2 linked regions of the Notamacropus eugenii genome follow. The protein of the gene in region 2 interacts with the protein of the main gene of each other region in a pairwise test. Links are inferred from orthologs where the notes say so. Each region holds a gene or a part of one and is shown on either strand. Other genes may lie near its edges.

Region 1 (7,124 bases), on a different chromosome or scaffold from region 2:
AGAGTACACAATAAGACCTTTTCTGACAGAGTCACTATCTTGACTTTTGCTGTGAATAACCATATTTATGTGTTACAATAAAGGTCTTTTATAAGGGAGTTAGTATGCAATGATAAACATGAAAAAAAAGAAAAGCTGGAGACAAGTATGAAACAGGATTTGAACTCAGGTCTTCCTGTCTCCAGGCTGTCTCTACACAGCACAAATCCTTTATCTGCTATTCCAAATGCCATGAGCCTCGATGAATCAGCTTTCTGGAAACAAAAAGGGAAGGAGGCCAGGGGTCCATCCATACAGCTGTTTGGACAGCAAGGACAGGATACTATAACTGGCATAGCCCCAGGGGCTGACTGCCCTTGCTCCTTGGTACCTTCTAAGCATGTTAAATATTTCCATATGGCAACAATATCAAAGTAAAAAAAGACACTACCTCTAACTCAACCCAACCTGCAAGTTTTCTACCTCTCAACATATGGGCCCCACCTCAGGTCCCCAAACCAGTTCTTACCCTCATTCAGAGTGAGGAAGAGGAAATTGAGGCCCAGGCAGGTCAGCAGGGAACACACTGGTGTCTGCCACCTAGAACACAGAGAACCTTGATCAGTACAAATGGTGTTCCATTCCTGTGTGGTACCACAGAGCCAGCAAGCAGCAAAGGCAGGACACATGAGATTGAAGAGAAATGGTAAATAATGAAGAGGCTTTTCCTTTAGCCAAGCAAGGGGCAGGGAGAGTAGGGAGGCCTGGTAAGTATGCCAAGGATAAGAGGGGAAAAACCTGTGAGGAACAAGGTAAACACTAATCCTTGTAATGAGAAGAATGACCATCTCAGGGGTGCTTCCTCTGGGGGTCTTGGGGTAGATTTCAGAGGGTCCATGAAATTGTATGGAAAGAAAAATTACACCTTTTTTTTTTTTCAGTAACCTCCATCTGAAATTTGACATTTCTTTTTCTTATTTAAAAGTATTCTTCTAAGAAAGTGGTCCAGAGGCTTCACCAGCCAAAGGGGTCTATTACACAAAAAAGGGTAAGGACCCCCTAGACTAAATGCCCAGGGCAGTATCTACAAAAGCACACCCGTGAAGGAGTATATTTAACCACTTTTTAAAAATTACTTCAAACTACATAACGGTGTGGTCTGTTCAAGTGTGGACTGGACAGGACCAGATGACCTCTAAGGTCTCTTGTAATTCAGAGTTTCACAATTCTATGAAGGGGGTTTTATCATTCTCCTGAAGTAAAGGCCCCTGAGTGAGTGAATTAGGAACACCTGGGGAAGACAGAGTAGTTATGTACATCCCCTTTAAAAGGAAGTTCAGTTCTTCTAAGAAAAAAAAACTCAGAAGAGCAAGATATCTGTCCTGTGATCTCTTGATTGTAAATATAGGGTAATTAGAGCCCAAGAGAGATAAAAAGTGAAAGAAAAGAAGTCGGAAGTCAAAAGCAATAAAAACAAATACAAAAAGACACTTAAGACTGATTAGCCTTTCAATGTGCACTATTTATTCTACCTAATTGGACTATTTCCTCATTTCCCAAATAAAGTTAATTTCTCTGCTTTTATGTAAATATACTTCCTTTGGGGAAGAAAAGAAACAAAAGCTTGAGACTCTCTGGAATGGTATTTCTCTGAAAGCTGTACCTAGTGTCCAACTACCGCCCTCATTAATCCTAATCACTGATAGCAGTTAACAAGGGTAGGACATAAGAAAGCTCCTTAGAACTAACTAATCCTGAAACCTCAGCCTCTTTATGGTGTGAAAGACATTATCCTCCCATGGCAGCCATTCTATTGTTAAACTTTCTTCCATGCTAACTTGTCCCTTCATGAAGACTTTTGTGATGACCGGCTACTGCCCACAGGAAGGGCTGCTTACAGAAGACTGGCCTTTTAGAAAACCATGGCTGATTACACAGATCTGACAGCATCTCTACAGACCAGGGTCAAAAGCCTTTCAACACCAAGTGCTCTTTACTAGCGAAGGAAGGAGAGCCAAAGAACAAGCTTATCTCATACCCTCAGGCTCCCAAAGGTACAGAAATCAAAGACTCCAGCAGATTTGTGGGAGGGGTTTTAACCCAAAATCCAACAATGTCTCCACATCCTCAGTTTTATTTCTCTGGGAGGAAAAATAAAAAGAATGCACTAAAATACTTTAATATGCTATACTGCATGTTATTTCCCCTGCTAGACTGTGAACTCCTTGAGATCAGGGACTGTCTCCTGCATTTCTTTGAATCCTCAGTGCTAAGCACAGTCCCTGATCCACAATGTAGGTGCTGAATAAATGCTTATTAACTGAGGGCTTCAGATTAAAACAGGCTACCTGGTTTGGCTGCCCGGACCAAGGAGTCAAATCTAAGCGATGGTGACATTCAGCCCAGGTTTCTGAATGGCTATTACAGCAACATACAGAAGCAAAATGTGCAGATGCCAGACATCCCTACTCCATGAAGGCCATACCTGAGCAAATAGAGGATCCCATCGCCTGCATCCTTCAGGGGCTCCAAGTACAGAACAAGTCTCTTGTAAAACAGGACCAAATTGAAGAGGTCAAGCACTGGAGGCTTAGGTGGGGCAGGTGGAGGGTCAGGTTGGGCCTCAGGCATGGCAGTGGGTGTCCCCTCTGGCCCACAGCTCTCTTGTTCTAGTGCCTGCATCCTACATTAAGTTAAAATGGAAATATCAAACAACACATTAATGAGGAAAGCAGTAGGTAAGGGGAAAAATAGGGAAAAAAAATCTCCTGGTTCCTCTAGACATTCTATTATATTTACCCACAGATACTCATATTTTTACATTCCTACTCGTCTACTCGTCAAAAGAATAATCTGGTAACTTGGTGGGACCTGTCTGTCATTTCTTCAAACAATAAATATTCTTTTATGAGATTCAAACAGAATTTATCAGCTACCTCAAATCCTTTCTCTAAAGAGGAGGGGAACCTATCCAATACAGATTTCGTTCCCAACTCCAAAATTCTGGATACCTCCCACGACCCAGCACATCACTTTCCTTGAATATCTAAGAGCTAAACCAGAAGAGGCTTAAAAACAGAATTTAAAAATAAAACATTTAACTTTAAAATTCCCACCCATCCCTACCAGTCTTGGGGGGGAACATAGAGCAGGTCCCTCTTCCTCCAGCCCATCACTGTGGAAGGGAATTGGACCAGGAACTGACGCACCCCCTGGCCCAGAGGATCTTAAGAGCAAGAGCTGCAAGCTATCGGCTTAGAAATCACCCAGTTCAGGAGTCCTTGAACGGTCTGATATTTTGGTAACTGTTTCAATCAACCGGTTTCTTTGTAACACTTTGTATCATTCATACTTCCGAGGCGTCACCAGACTTCCCGAGGGGTCAGTGACACAGATCGGGTCCAGCCCCCTCAATTCAAAGACCCAGCGGGCTGAAGCTACTTTCCCGACAAACACGAGAGCCAGCCCCGGGTCCTGGGACTTCCGTGTTCCCGGAACGTCCTTTGGGGACAAATCCAAGGTCTCCCTCCACTTTTCTCCGAGGGACGGACCCGATCATAGGTCACTCCGGCCCGCCGGCCTCGGGCAGCCCTCCAGCCCAGGGAGACGAGGGGAAGGGGAGTACGTAGGGGAGGGGGCCCCATGCCCAGAGTCAGGGCCCGCCGCGGAGCCTCAGCCCCACGTACCCGACCTGCGGCCGGCTGTCTGCGACTCTCGGGGTCGGGCCCGGGACCCGGGCGCTACCCGGGTCGGATGGGGGCCGCCCGGTCAGGCGCGCAACTCCCAGCCCCCCGGGCTCAGGACCTTCCCCTCCACAGCAGCTCCTGTCACAGCTTCCGGAAACCTCGCCAACGTTTTACGCAGCGTGCCTCGTGACGTCAACGCGCGGGCTCCGCCCCTTCCAATCATTGTCCAGACTCCCCAAGGACGGGAAGGAGGCGTGTCCACAGAGGAACCGCTCCACCCCCTCCTCCTCCCAAGATTTTTTGCATACTCCTTTCGGAGGGTGGCCCGCGGTAGCAATGCGCCTGCGCGTGTCTTTTTTTTTTGGAGCCGCTGTGTTTCTAAGCAACCTTCCTCTGGTTTAGAGTGATGTCACCGGGAAGTCGACCTGCCTCCTTTTCCTGGGCTCTTTGAGACTGGATTCACATTTGCCCAAATTGACCGTACTGGGGAAACAGTGATGGAGGGGCGGCCTCAGTATTGGCAGGCGTCTCAAAGATCCTCTAGGCCAAGATCTTCCTGACTTGTTTATTGGTGTCTTTTCACATCGCCGTCACTTCCACCTCCCCTCCTCGTAGCAAACCTTAGAAGTTTGGGGGCGGAGGAGCCAGCCCACACGTCTGCAATAAGCCTCCCCCTGGCCTCCCACCTCCGCAATGGACGGATCTTATGTAATGTGGGGATCTCCAAGAGGAGGAAACTCCCTAAAACGAAGCAGGTCATCCCTTCTTTTTGCAATTTATAGGCCTTAAGAGTTACAAAGAGCTTTTCATGCGTAATCTCAATTAATCCTCACAACATCCTGGTAAGGCAGGTGCTATTAATAGTCATTAAAAACACCACTAACATTTATATAGCACTTCCTATGTACCAGGCACTGTGCTAAACGCTTTACAAATATAATCTCACTTGATCCTTTTGACAGCTCTTGAAAGTAGATGCTGTTTATCCCCATTTGACAGATAAGGAAACTGAGGAAGACAGAGGTTAAGTGACTACTCAAACTCAGGTTTACCTAATTCAGGGCCAAGCCCACCTCCTCTTTTTTTTTACCTTAAGGGGGTCCAGAGAGATCAATGATTTGTCCCTGGCTAACAGCTAGTCAGTAGCAGAGCTTAGATTACAGAAATCCGGTCTCCTGACTCCCTTAGCCAGTGTTCTATTACCACACAGCTACTCCGTGGATTTTAAAGGATTTTTTCCCCCTAGCCCCAAAAGAAATTTTTCCCCACCAACTAGGCAACAAGTCTGGAATTCCACCATTTTTCATGGTTTTTTTATCTTGAGAAGTATTTCTCTTCAAGATTCCTTTACAATAACTCTGGAAAGGGTTATCAAAGATTCATAGATTGTCACCGCTGGCAAGGACTTTAGAAATCACCTATGCTTTTTTGGACCTGTTGAGTTTAATATGTCTACTGAACACCTAGTTCAAGACAACTGAGAGGCAGTTGGAAATCAGGAACTGGAGGTCAACGGAGAGGTTAGGGTAGACTGGGTATATTTGAGAATCATCAGCATAGAGATGGTCATTAAATTCCTGAGAGCTGATGAGGTCACCAAGTGAAAAAGTATAGAAGATGAAGAGAAGAGACCCCAGGACAGAACCCTGAAAGACACCTATAGCATAATCTGGAAGAAGATCCTGCAAAGGAGAGAGAGGAGTGGTCAGATAGGTAGGAAGAAAACCAGGAAGAGAGTGGGCAGCTACGTGGCACAATGGATACAGCACCAGCCCTAGAGTCAGGAGGACCTAAGTTCAAATCATCTTAGACACTTACTAGTTGTATGACCCTGGACAAGTCACTTAACCCATGAAAGAAAACTAAGAAAGTATCAAGGAAAAGAGAGTGATCAATAATGTCAAAGGCTGTAAAAAAAGAGAACTGAGAAAAGGTCATTGAAATTGGCCACGAAGAGATCATGAGCAGCTTTGAAGACAATCCTCCCACCCCCTTCCTTGTTACTATACAGGGCAACACTATCCTCCCAATCCTTCAATCTCATAACACAGGAGTCATCCTGGATTCCTCACTGTTTCTCATCCCCACATATCCAATCTGTTCCCAAGGTCTGTTGATTTCACCTTGGCAACATTTCTTGAATTTGCCCCCTTCTCTCCTCTGACACTGCCCTCTGGTGCCATCGCTCATTGCCTCATGTCTGGACTATATTGTAATAGCCTGCTGGTGGGTTGGACTGCCTCAAGTCTCTCCTCACTATAATACATCCTCCATTCAGTCACCAAAATGATTTTCCTAAAGCTCAGGTCTGATCATGTCACTTCCTACTCAATAAACTCCAGTGACTCCCTATTTCTTCCAGAATCAAAAAATAAGATTCTCTGTTTGGCATTCACTCATGAATGCCTTTGGGGAGAAGACCTTAAATATAAACTAAATTTTGTTTTAAGAGATTTTCACCAGGACTCCAAGTTGGGAACATAATGAACCAGAGAATTATAAAAAGAAGTTTGAGCAAGATAAATCTCAGATATGTTCCCCTCTCTCCTCAGATCCCAACCTCCACACTGGTACCATTCCTTGTTACCTAACACCTGGGTTGTTGTAATAACTTTCTAGTTACTCTCTCTGAAGTTTCTCGCCATTGCAGTCCTTCCTTTACTCTAGCTACCAGTGATCTTTCTAAAGTACAGGTCTGACTAAATCCCTCCCCTCCTCAATAAACTCCAGTGACTCCCTACTTCTGTTTAGCTTTTAAATCTCTTCACAAACTGGCCCCTTCCTACATTTCCAGAACTAGTACCTTCCTTCCGGGATTATCTCTAAGTTATCATTCCTTGAAAACAGGGTCTGTTTTTGCTTTTCTTTGTATTCTTGGTACTTAGCACAATGCCTGGTACATAAATAAATGGCTAATAAATGCTTGTTGACTTTCTGATCCACTCTCTTTAGAGATGGGGCTCCCCTCAAGACTGAGCACAGCATTTTAATACTTGCTGACTGATTGAGCTCTTTAAGACATAGAGTTCCTCAAGATTGAAAAGGGGGGTGAAAGCAGTGCCCTCCTTTTCCTTTTTTAAAAGAAAACAGGACCCTGCCCCAGTCATTATAAATGGGTTAGCTTGTCTTCAATGCAAAGGAAAGAACAGTGGACTATGAGTCAGAAAGCCCAGGTCTCCACCCTAACTCTTACTCTTTGAGTAAGTTACTTGGCTTCATCAGCATCAGTTTCAAGTCAGTTCAATAGATATGGATTAGATAGCAGCCCCGAACACTCACCATGCTAAGTGGTCCGGATACCAAGATAGACCTTCTATAGGTCCTAATCTTAACACTTGCAATCTAGTCGTAATGGGTTTCCACAGCTATGAAGTGAGAAGGTTGGACTGAATGATCCCTAAAGTCCAGCCCAGCTCTAACAGTGTCTCATTCTGTCTCTATGACTTGGGACACATATTT
Region 2 (7,489 bases):
CCCTTGAAGTATACTCAGTTTTGCTGGGTAGGTGATTCTTGGTTTTAATCCCAGTTCCTTTGACTTCTGGAATATCCTATTCCAAGCCCTTCAATCCCTTAATGTAGAAGCTGCCAGATCCTGTGTTATCCTGATTGTATTTCCACAATACTCAAATTGTTTCTTTCTAGCTGCTTGCAATATTTTCTCCTTGACCTGGGAACTCTGAAATTTGGCCACAGTATTCCTAGGAGTTTCTCTCTTTGGGTCTCTTTCAGGAGGTGATTGGTGGATTCTTTCAATATTTATTTTGCCCTCTGGTTCTAGAATATCAGGGCAGTTTTCCTTGATAATTTCATGAAAGATGATGTCTAGGCTCTTTTTTGATAAAGGCTTTCAGGTAGTCCCATAATTTTTAAATTGTCTCTCCTGGATCTATTTTCCAGGTCAGTTGTTTTTCCAATGAGATATTTCACATTATCTTCCATTTTTTCATTCTTTTGGTTTTGTTTTGTGATTTCTTGGTTTCTCATAAAGTCATTAGCCTCCATCTGTTCCATACTCATTTTTAAAGAACTATGTTCTTCAGTGAGCTTTTGAACCTCCTTTTCCATTTGGTCAATTTTGCTTTTTAAAGCATTCTTCTCTTTATTGGCTTTTTGGACCTCTTTTTCCAATTGAGTTAGCCTATTTTTAAAGGTGTTATTTTTGGGGTCTTCTTTAGCAAGCTGTTGACTTGCTTTTCAAGCTCTTCCATGGCCTGAGCCTATTGCATATTCATTTTGGAAGTACTGGATGCATAAGCCTTGACTTCCTCTGACAGTATTCTTTGTTCTTCCTAATCTGAAAGGATGGAAGGAAATACCTGTTCACCAAGAAAGGAACCTTCTATGGTCTTATTTGTTTTCCCTTTTTTGGGCATTTTCCCAGCCAGTTGCTTGACTTCTGAATCCTTTGTCAAGAGGAGGGTTCTAGTGCTCCTGTTCACCCCAGGGCTGTGCTCAGGGGTGAGATTCTGATCAGCTGCTCAATTCCTCTAGAGACTTTAGGCTGAGTGCTTCACAGATGGATGCTGCAGCTACCACCACCCCTGCTGCTGCTGCCACTACCACCTCCACTGCCTGGGGCCAGTGCTAGGGGGATCTTGCTCCCCTCTCACCTAGTGACCTTTGAAGCTTTCTTTGGTGCTTGTGAGTTGAGGGATGTGAGACCCTCCTTGCTGGGGATTCTGCCCCAGAGGCCTGTTCTGGTCCTGTTCCTCCCACTGCCACAGCCAGGGCTGGCCTCTACTGCACTCAGCATCGCATGGGATAGACGTCTCCTGTTGGCCTTCAAGATTACCTTTGGCTGGAAATCTCCTTTACTCTGTCGTTCTGTGGCTTCTGCTGCTCTAGAATTTGTTGATATATTTTTCACATGTATTTTACGGGCTGTGGGGGAAGAGCTAGAGTGTGTGCCTCTTTCTACTTCTCCATCTTCTATTACACTTTTCAGTGCGCAAGAGTTCTTACGGAACCTGCAACCTTAAAGGGGTACAGGTAAAGTTTATATAGGATATTCTATAGTAAAGCATGTGCCAAATATGTTAACTAGGTGTTTTGGGGTGGGATTAGGGAGTGGTTAAAGAGCGGTCAGTTCTTAAAGGAGCATGCACTTTTAGTATCTACTGCGCAGGTATTTTACCCAAAGTTCATGGGGAAATAGCCCAAGGGAGGGCTACTTGGAGGTATGGTTTTAGGCCTGAAATGTCACTAAGTGTACAAGTGGTCAGGGCTGGCTCAGAAATACCAGGTTGCTCTCATCAATGTCTTGTTAGACAAGATAAATGTAAGGGAGTATACATGTGTCTAAGTCTAGGATACATATGATTGATCAGTTATGACCCAGGGCATAGCCAGTTCAGCCAGGACACAGCTGGTTCAGACTAATAAGTTCTATAAGTGCAACTGGCTGCTGTATTAGGAAGGGAGATAATGGTTGTTCCTGGGGCAGGCTGTGTCCTTGGGCTGGGAAGAAACTGCCTGGGATAGTGTTTTGAGGCTAGGGAGAAATGTGACTTTTAAAGAGAAATGTGATTTTAGAATTGGGGCCCAAGCACCCCATCAGCTTGGTCCTGAGGTCCTTTCCAAGTCTAAAATCCTGTGCTTGTATAAGCAACAGTTCCGGAGTTAGAGAGACTGTGTTCAATTCCTGTGTGACAGACATTTGGCAACTCATTTGCCTCTTCTGGCCTCAGTTTCCAAATCTTGGCAAAGATACTGTAGTGGTTTGCCATTTCTTCTCTAGCTCACTTTACAGATTAGGAAACTGAGTCACACAGCACTTACTTGCTCAGGGTCACATGGCTAGTAAGTGTCTGAGGTTGAATTTGTACTCAGTCCCCCTGATTCCTGGGCTAGTGTTCTATCCCCACAGCCACCTAGCTGCCACCTAGTTGTCCTTTATTTTTTTTTTTTAATTTTCATGTTACCTTTCTCAATAGGGTTCAGATGTTTTCTGTCCCACGGGCTGATGTTTTCTGTTTTTGGTCCCGGGTAAAAGGGGAAAAAACATACTTTTGTCTCTAGGTCAAGAGGAGGGGAATGTTGTGTGTCCTTGATAGATGGGTTTTGTTCAAAATTCTCTTTCTTACCAAGGAAGAGTCTGGGGGTGGCGCAGCATGTTGGGAAATGATTCTAATGTTTTAAAAAAGTATAAATGAACATTTTTATTGGAGAAAAAAGAAAAACAGAGAAGTCGTCCTTGCCCTCAAGGTGCACAAACATAGATAACTTCATTATATAAGCACTTTGCAACCCTGATTAACTCACTTCATTCCTCTGGGGCTGTAAAAAGAGGGGGTTGGACTGCATGAAGTCTAAAGTCCTATCTGCCTCTAAAAGTGTAATCTTTACTCTGGGGTAAGTGGAAATGGGGGAGGAGACTAGGAAGGGTGGTGGCCCCAGAAGGTTAAGCCATTTCCATTCCACTTACTCGAGATGTTGCTAGAGTGATCTGTCAATTTCATTTAAAACGGAAAGTGATCCAAGTATATTTTAAATGGTTTCATGTTTCATATGTGTATGTTTCACATATTATAGGTATGTATTAAATGCATTTTATGTTTATTTCATACGTGTGTCATATAAACATAATTAAATTACGTGAAATGAAGTTATAGAATACCTACGATATGAAATTTTATACATATATAAATTCACGTTGTATGTCCTTGTCGGCTGAGTTTGGCAAATGGGGAAACTACGGTACAGGGGGTGGGTTGTCAAAATCGAGCACACCTTCGCCTCCAAGGCCCCAGAAGTCACGGATGCTCACTAGCTGGAGGCCCCCTGCTGCGTGGGGGGAGTGTGTGTGTGTGTGGGGGGGGGTTCACGCGGGTCAGGGATAGGCAGGTAAATGTTTAACACAGCACACTGCAGGGGCGGGGGCGGGGCCGGAGGGAGGGGTGTGGGGGAAGGTGCAGAGGGGAGGACTTGCGGGGCATCCTCGTCGGAGTTATTAGCACGTTCTCCATCACTTTCTAGAACCTACTTAATTAACATAACAATACATCAAGCGCTGGCGTGCTGTTTGTCCACTTACGAGGTGCGAACGTTCTCGCCGCAAATTTAACAACAGGCTGCCTGGAGGGGGCGAGAGTTGAACCCAACGCAGCCCCGGAGGAGTCCTGGCCCCGCCCTTCAGGACTTGGCCTTGGACGTGACCTCCGCACCCGCGCATGTTGCCTCGGTCCCTTTAAGAGCTTGAAAAACCTTGGAAACCAAAGCAGGAAGGAGGCGGGTCCTCGCGCCTAGAGCGATAATCACATCAACCAATCCGGGAAGCCTTCCTGGCCGGTTCAGCCAATGAGCACCTGGGAGGGCGGGCCTAGGGCAGCTGATTCCCGAGGCCGGGCAGCAGCTGCTGCTGCTGGGTGGTGGGGGACCCACAGGACCCTGGGGGTCCCGAATTGGTGCCACGTGTCCCCGGGGGAGCCGGGCTGGGACCTCGGTAACTCCCGGGGCCCCGGCTGGCAGAGGAGGTTGGAGCGGGGTGGCTGCTCGAGCCCGCAGCGGGGTGGGGGTTGGAGACGAGGCCTGGGGACCTGGATGGGGGCGGGGGACCCCGGGGGAGACCCCGGCCCCACCGTTGGAGCCATTCTAGGCCTCGCGAACCGGAGCGGCCTAGATCTACCCCAGGGACCCAGGCGTCCCGTCCCTGCCCATCCAGTCCGAGGTGGGGGGGGAGGGTCCCAGGGACTGGAGGGAAAGGGCGGGGGGCGTGTGCAGAGCCCCAGACCTGAACAGGAGCTTGAATTTAGAGGGGAGGGACCGCAGGAGTCACCTCGTCCAACCCTCCCAACCCCCATTTCACAGAGGAGGAGACTGAGGCCCAGAGTGGGAACAAGGTCATCTGCGGGTTGACTGTCAATGGCAGAGCTGGGATTGGACCCCAGACCCCCAGAATCGCGCCCCACGCTAGATGGAAGTTCAGTGATCACCCCACTCCATAGAGCAGGGGTCTGGCCTCAGGCCTCTCAGTTGAAGGGAAGGATTAGGGGCTTCTGGATATCCTCCATCCCACTCCACACCTGCTGGCATCCCCACAGCCCCAGGTGTTGGCAGAGGTCATCTCATTCGGTAAATGTTTGACCTGTCAGATGCTATCAGCAGGTACCCTGAAGGCTATATCCTGCCCCATTCCCTTCCTGTACCCCAAGCAGTCTTTCTTCGTTAAAACCCGCCCCCCCCTCCGCAATAATGAGGATGGGTCAAAGAAGGAGGCGATCAGTCTTGAGTGAGTAGGATGACCTTATGGAAAGACCCCTAAAAGGAGCAATCAGGACAATTGTGGTCTGTTCCCAGTGGCCACAGACTGACCAAATCTTTGGCTTTGGGCAGATTCCTCTCCTTTCTACCCCACTTTTTTTTATTCAATCTGCAAAATGACAGAGATTTGGTGGTCACTGAAGGGTAGAGCTGAACTTTAGGGACCATCTAATCTAGTTCTTTCATTTTTACAGGTGAGGAAACTGAGTCCTAGGGAGGTAGAGTAAGACCTTCCCACAGTCAGATGACAGAGCTGGGCTTCATACCCATATCTGAGACCAGATACAATGAACTAACTGTCTACCTCCTCTAAGATTCTTCCCAGTTTAGATACTATGTTCTAAAGCCCCTTCACCCTTATGGTCAGGAGCTTGGTTCCATTGCAGCACCCCCTGTCCCAGCCAGGGAAGATGGCAAGGACAGAGACAACCGAGGTGGGCTTTGTACTTGGTTACCTCTCCACCTAAGCTACTTCTATTCCTTTGTTGGCTCCCTCTTTCTCTCTCTTTCTTTCTGCTCTTCTCTCTCTCTCTGTACCTCCACCCCTCACCAGCAGCATCTCTCAAGAACCATGGCATCCAAAGCTGCATCCCCTACTGCAGACCCAGTCCCTGTTTCTCCACCACCTTCCGGGGCTGCCCAGCTGGATGCAAGTGAGGATTTTGAGGTCCTGGATGGAACTGAAGAGGAAGAGGACGATGATGATGACTTGAATGAGCTGCCTCCCTTGGAGGATCTGGGAGCAGCCCAAAATGAGGACCCCACGGAGCCTCAGCCTACAGCATCTGAAGAGACAGAGCATGAAGAGACAGAGCATTCAGGCGCCCTCCAGGAGGAGTGGATGGACATCTTGGGTAAGAGGCTTGAAACTTTCAGGCATGAGGGTGTGGGGGCTGGGTCTGAGGCTGGGCATGGGTTACTTCATTCATTTATTAAGCGTTCACTGTCAGTCATCCAGTAAACATTTATTAAGTACCTGCTGTGTGCCAGGCACTGAATTAGGTGCTGAGTATTCCAAAGACAAAAATAAAATGTTCCCTGCCCTTTTAAGGAGCATATGTATTATGTGCAGGCCCAAATTGAGGCATTACTATTTGGGGCCAGGTATATATAGTCTCTTGGTTGAAAGAGGAGAGTGGAAACCAGAATCGTTATCATCATAATACAAAGCTCTCATTTGATCCTCACTACACTCTGGGAGGTAAATGCTATTATTATCCCCATTTTACAGATGAGGAAACAGAGTCTGGCAGAGGTTAAGTGACCTGTCTAGGGTCACACAGCTAGTAAGTGTCTGGGGCCACATTTGAACTCAGGTCTTCCTGACTCCAGATCTCTCGCTTCAGCCATCGTGCTAACTTAGCTTGAGTAAGAGATGGTCTTTATCACAGCGCTTTTAACAGATAAAAATATATATTAGAATATAATAAGTACAAAAAGGCAGTACACTGTCATTAGTTCAGTGAGGGAGAGAGGGAGGCAGGGTGCTGTACTTGCATTCTCCTCAAGGCAGGGTTTATCTTTTGCCTCCTTTTGTATCCCTGGTGCCTAGCACAGTGCCTAGCACAGTGCCTGGCACATCCAAGATGTTTAATACGTGTTTATTGATTGATTGACTTAGAATTGAGAAGACTTGAGTTCAAGTCCTCATTATACTATTTGTGTGATCATAGGCAACTGATCCAATCTTCCTGACCCTCTGTTTTTTCTTCTGAGTACTTTTATGTCTTTAAAATATATATATTTAAAAATTTTTTTTCAATCAGCAAAATTCTGCCTTCCTTCCCACCTCTCTTTCTTCCTAGTTGAGAAAGAAAGAAAAAGAAAACTCCTGTGTGCAAACATGTGCTGTCAAGCAAAAGGAATTTCTGTATTGGCCATGTCCAAAAAATAAGCCTCATTCAACATTCTGGGTCCCTCACCTCTAGACTTGGATGTGAGGAGTAAGCTTCATCATGACTTCTCTGGAATCTGCTCGTTGATCTGTTGGTCAGAGCTCCTTAGTCCTTCAAAGTTAGTTATTTCTCACATGTTGTTGTCATTATAATGTATCGTTCTGCATACTTCACTTTTCATCATCAATTCATGCCAGTCTTCCCAGGTTTCTTTGAAACTATACCCTTCATATTTTCTTACAGCACAGTCATATTCTATCACATTCATATACCATAATTTGTTCAGACATTCTCCAAATTAGTAGGCACCCTCCTTAGTTTCCAACTCTGTCTCTGCAAAAAAGAATTTCTATAGATATTTTTGTATAACCCTAGTTAGTTTGTTTTACTTAGGACTAATGCCTCTCTTAATTTACCCTTCCTCTTATTTCACCTTCTCCCTTCCTATGTGTTCTATATGCTTCTCTCCTTTAATCAGTTCAGATAAAAGTAAGGTATTGGTGTCACTGGCTCCCCCTACCCCGTTTTCTCTTGTTTGCCTAGACCTCTACTTGCACATAATATTCCCTAACTTTGCTTTCCCTCCAAGTGTACTCTTTCCCTCCCTTTCCATTCTCCTTTAAAGATCATCAAGTTATAAAAGAAGCATTCCCCGGCCCTCTGTCTAATTAGACTTTCTCTGTGTTCCCGGATGATGATAGAGCTCTGAAGGGATATATGTAACATCTCCCCATGTTAGAATGTAATCATTTTATCCTTGTTTAATTCCTTGTGGTTGTTCATGCTTACATTTTTGTGTTTCTTGAC

The links. The genes of interacting proteins can lie anywhere in the genome.
Region 1: the proteins of FKBP8 (region 2) and ZFYVE27 interact in binary tests that used the Homo sapiens proteins (3 or more experiments, as listed by UniProt). The link is inferred for Notamacropus eugenii from reciprocal best matches to the Homo sapiens genes FKBP8 and ZFYVE27.

What each region holds. Positions count from the first base shown.
Region 1 is NC_092872.1:214,485,662-214,492,785, reverse strand, and holds the start of ZFYVE27 (protrudin), read right to left. Parts: upstream 3,200-7,124; 5' UTR 3,153-3,199; coding exon 3,106-3,152; intron 2,663-3,105; coding exon 2,465-2,662; intron 580-2,464; coding exon 509-579; intron 1-508. UniProt on the Homo sapiens protein: Key regulator of RAB11-dependent vesicular trafficking during neurite extension through polarized membrane transport. Promotes axonal elongation and contributes to the establishment of neuronal cell polarity.
Region 2 is NC_092875.1:67,000,824-67,008,312, forward strand, and holds the start of FKBP8 (peptidyl-prolyl cis-trans isomerase FKBP8), read left to right. Parts: upstream 1-4,373; 5' UTR 4,374-4,388; coding exon 4,389-4,598; intron 4,599-5,340; exon of another isoform or gene 5,341-5,343; coding exon 5,344-5,641; intron 5,642-7,489. UniProt on the Homo sapiens protein: Constitutively inactive PPiase, which becomes active when bound to calmodulin and calcium. Seems to act as a chaperone for BCL2, targets it to the mitochondria and modulates its phosphorylation state.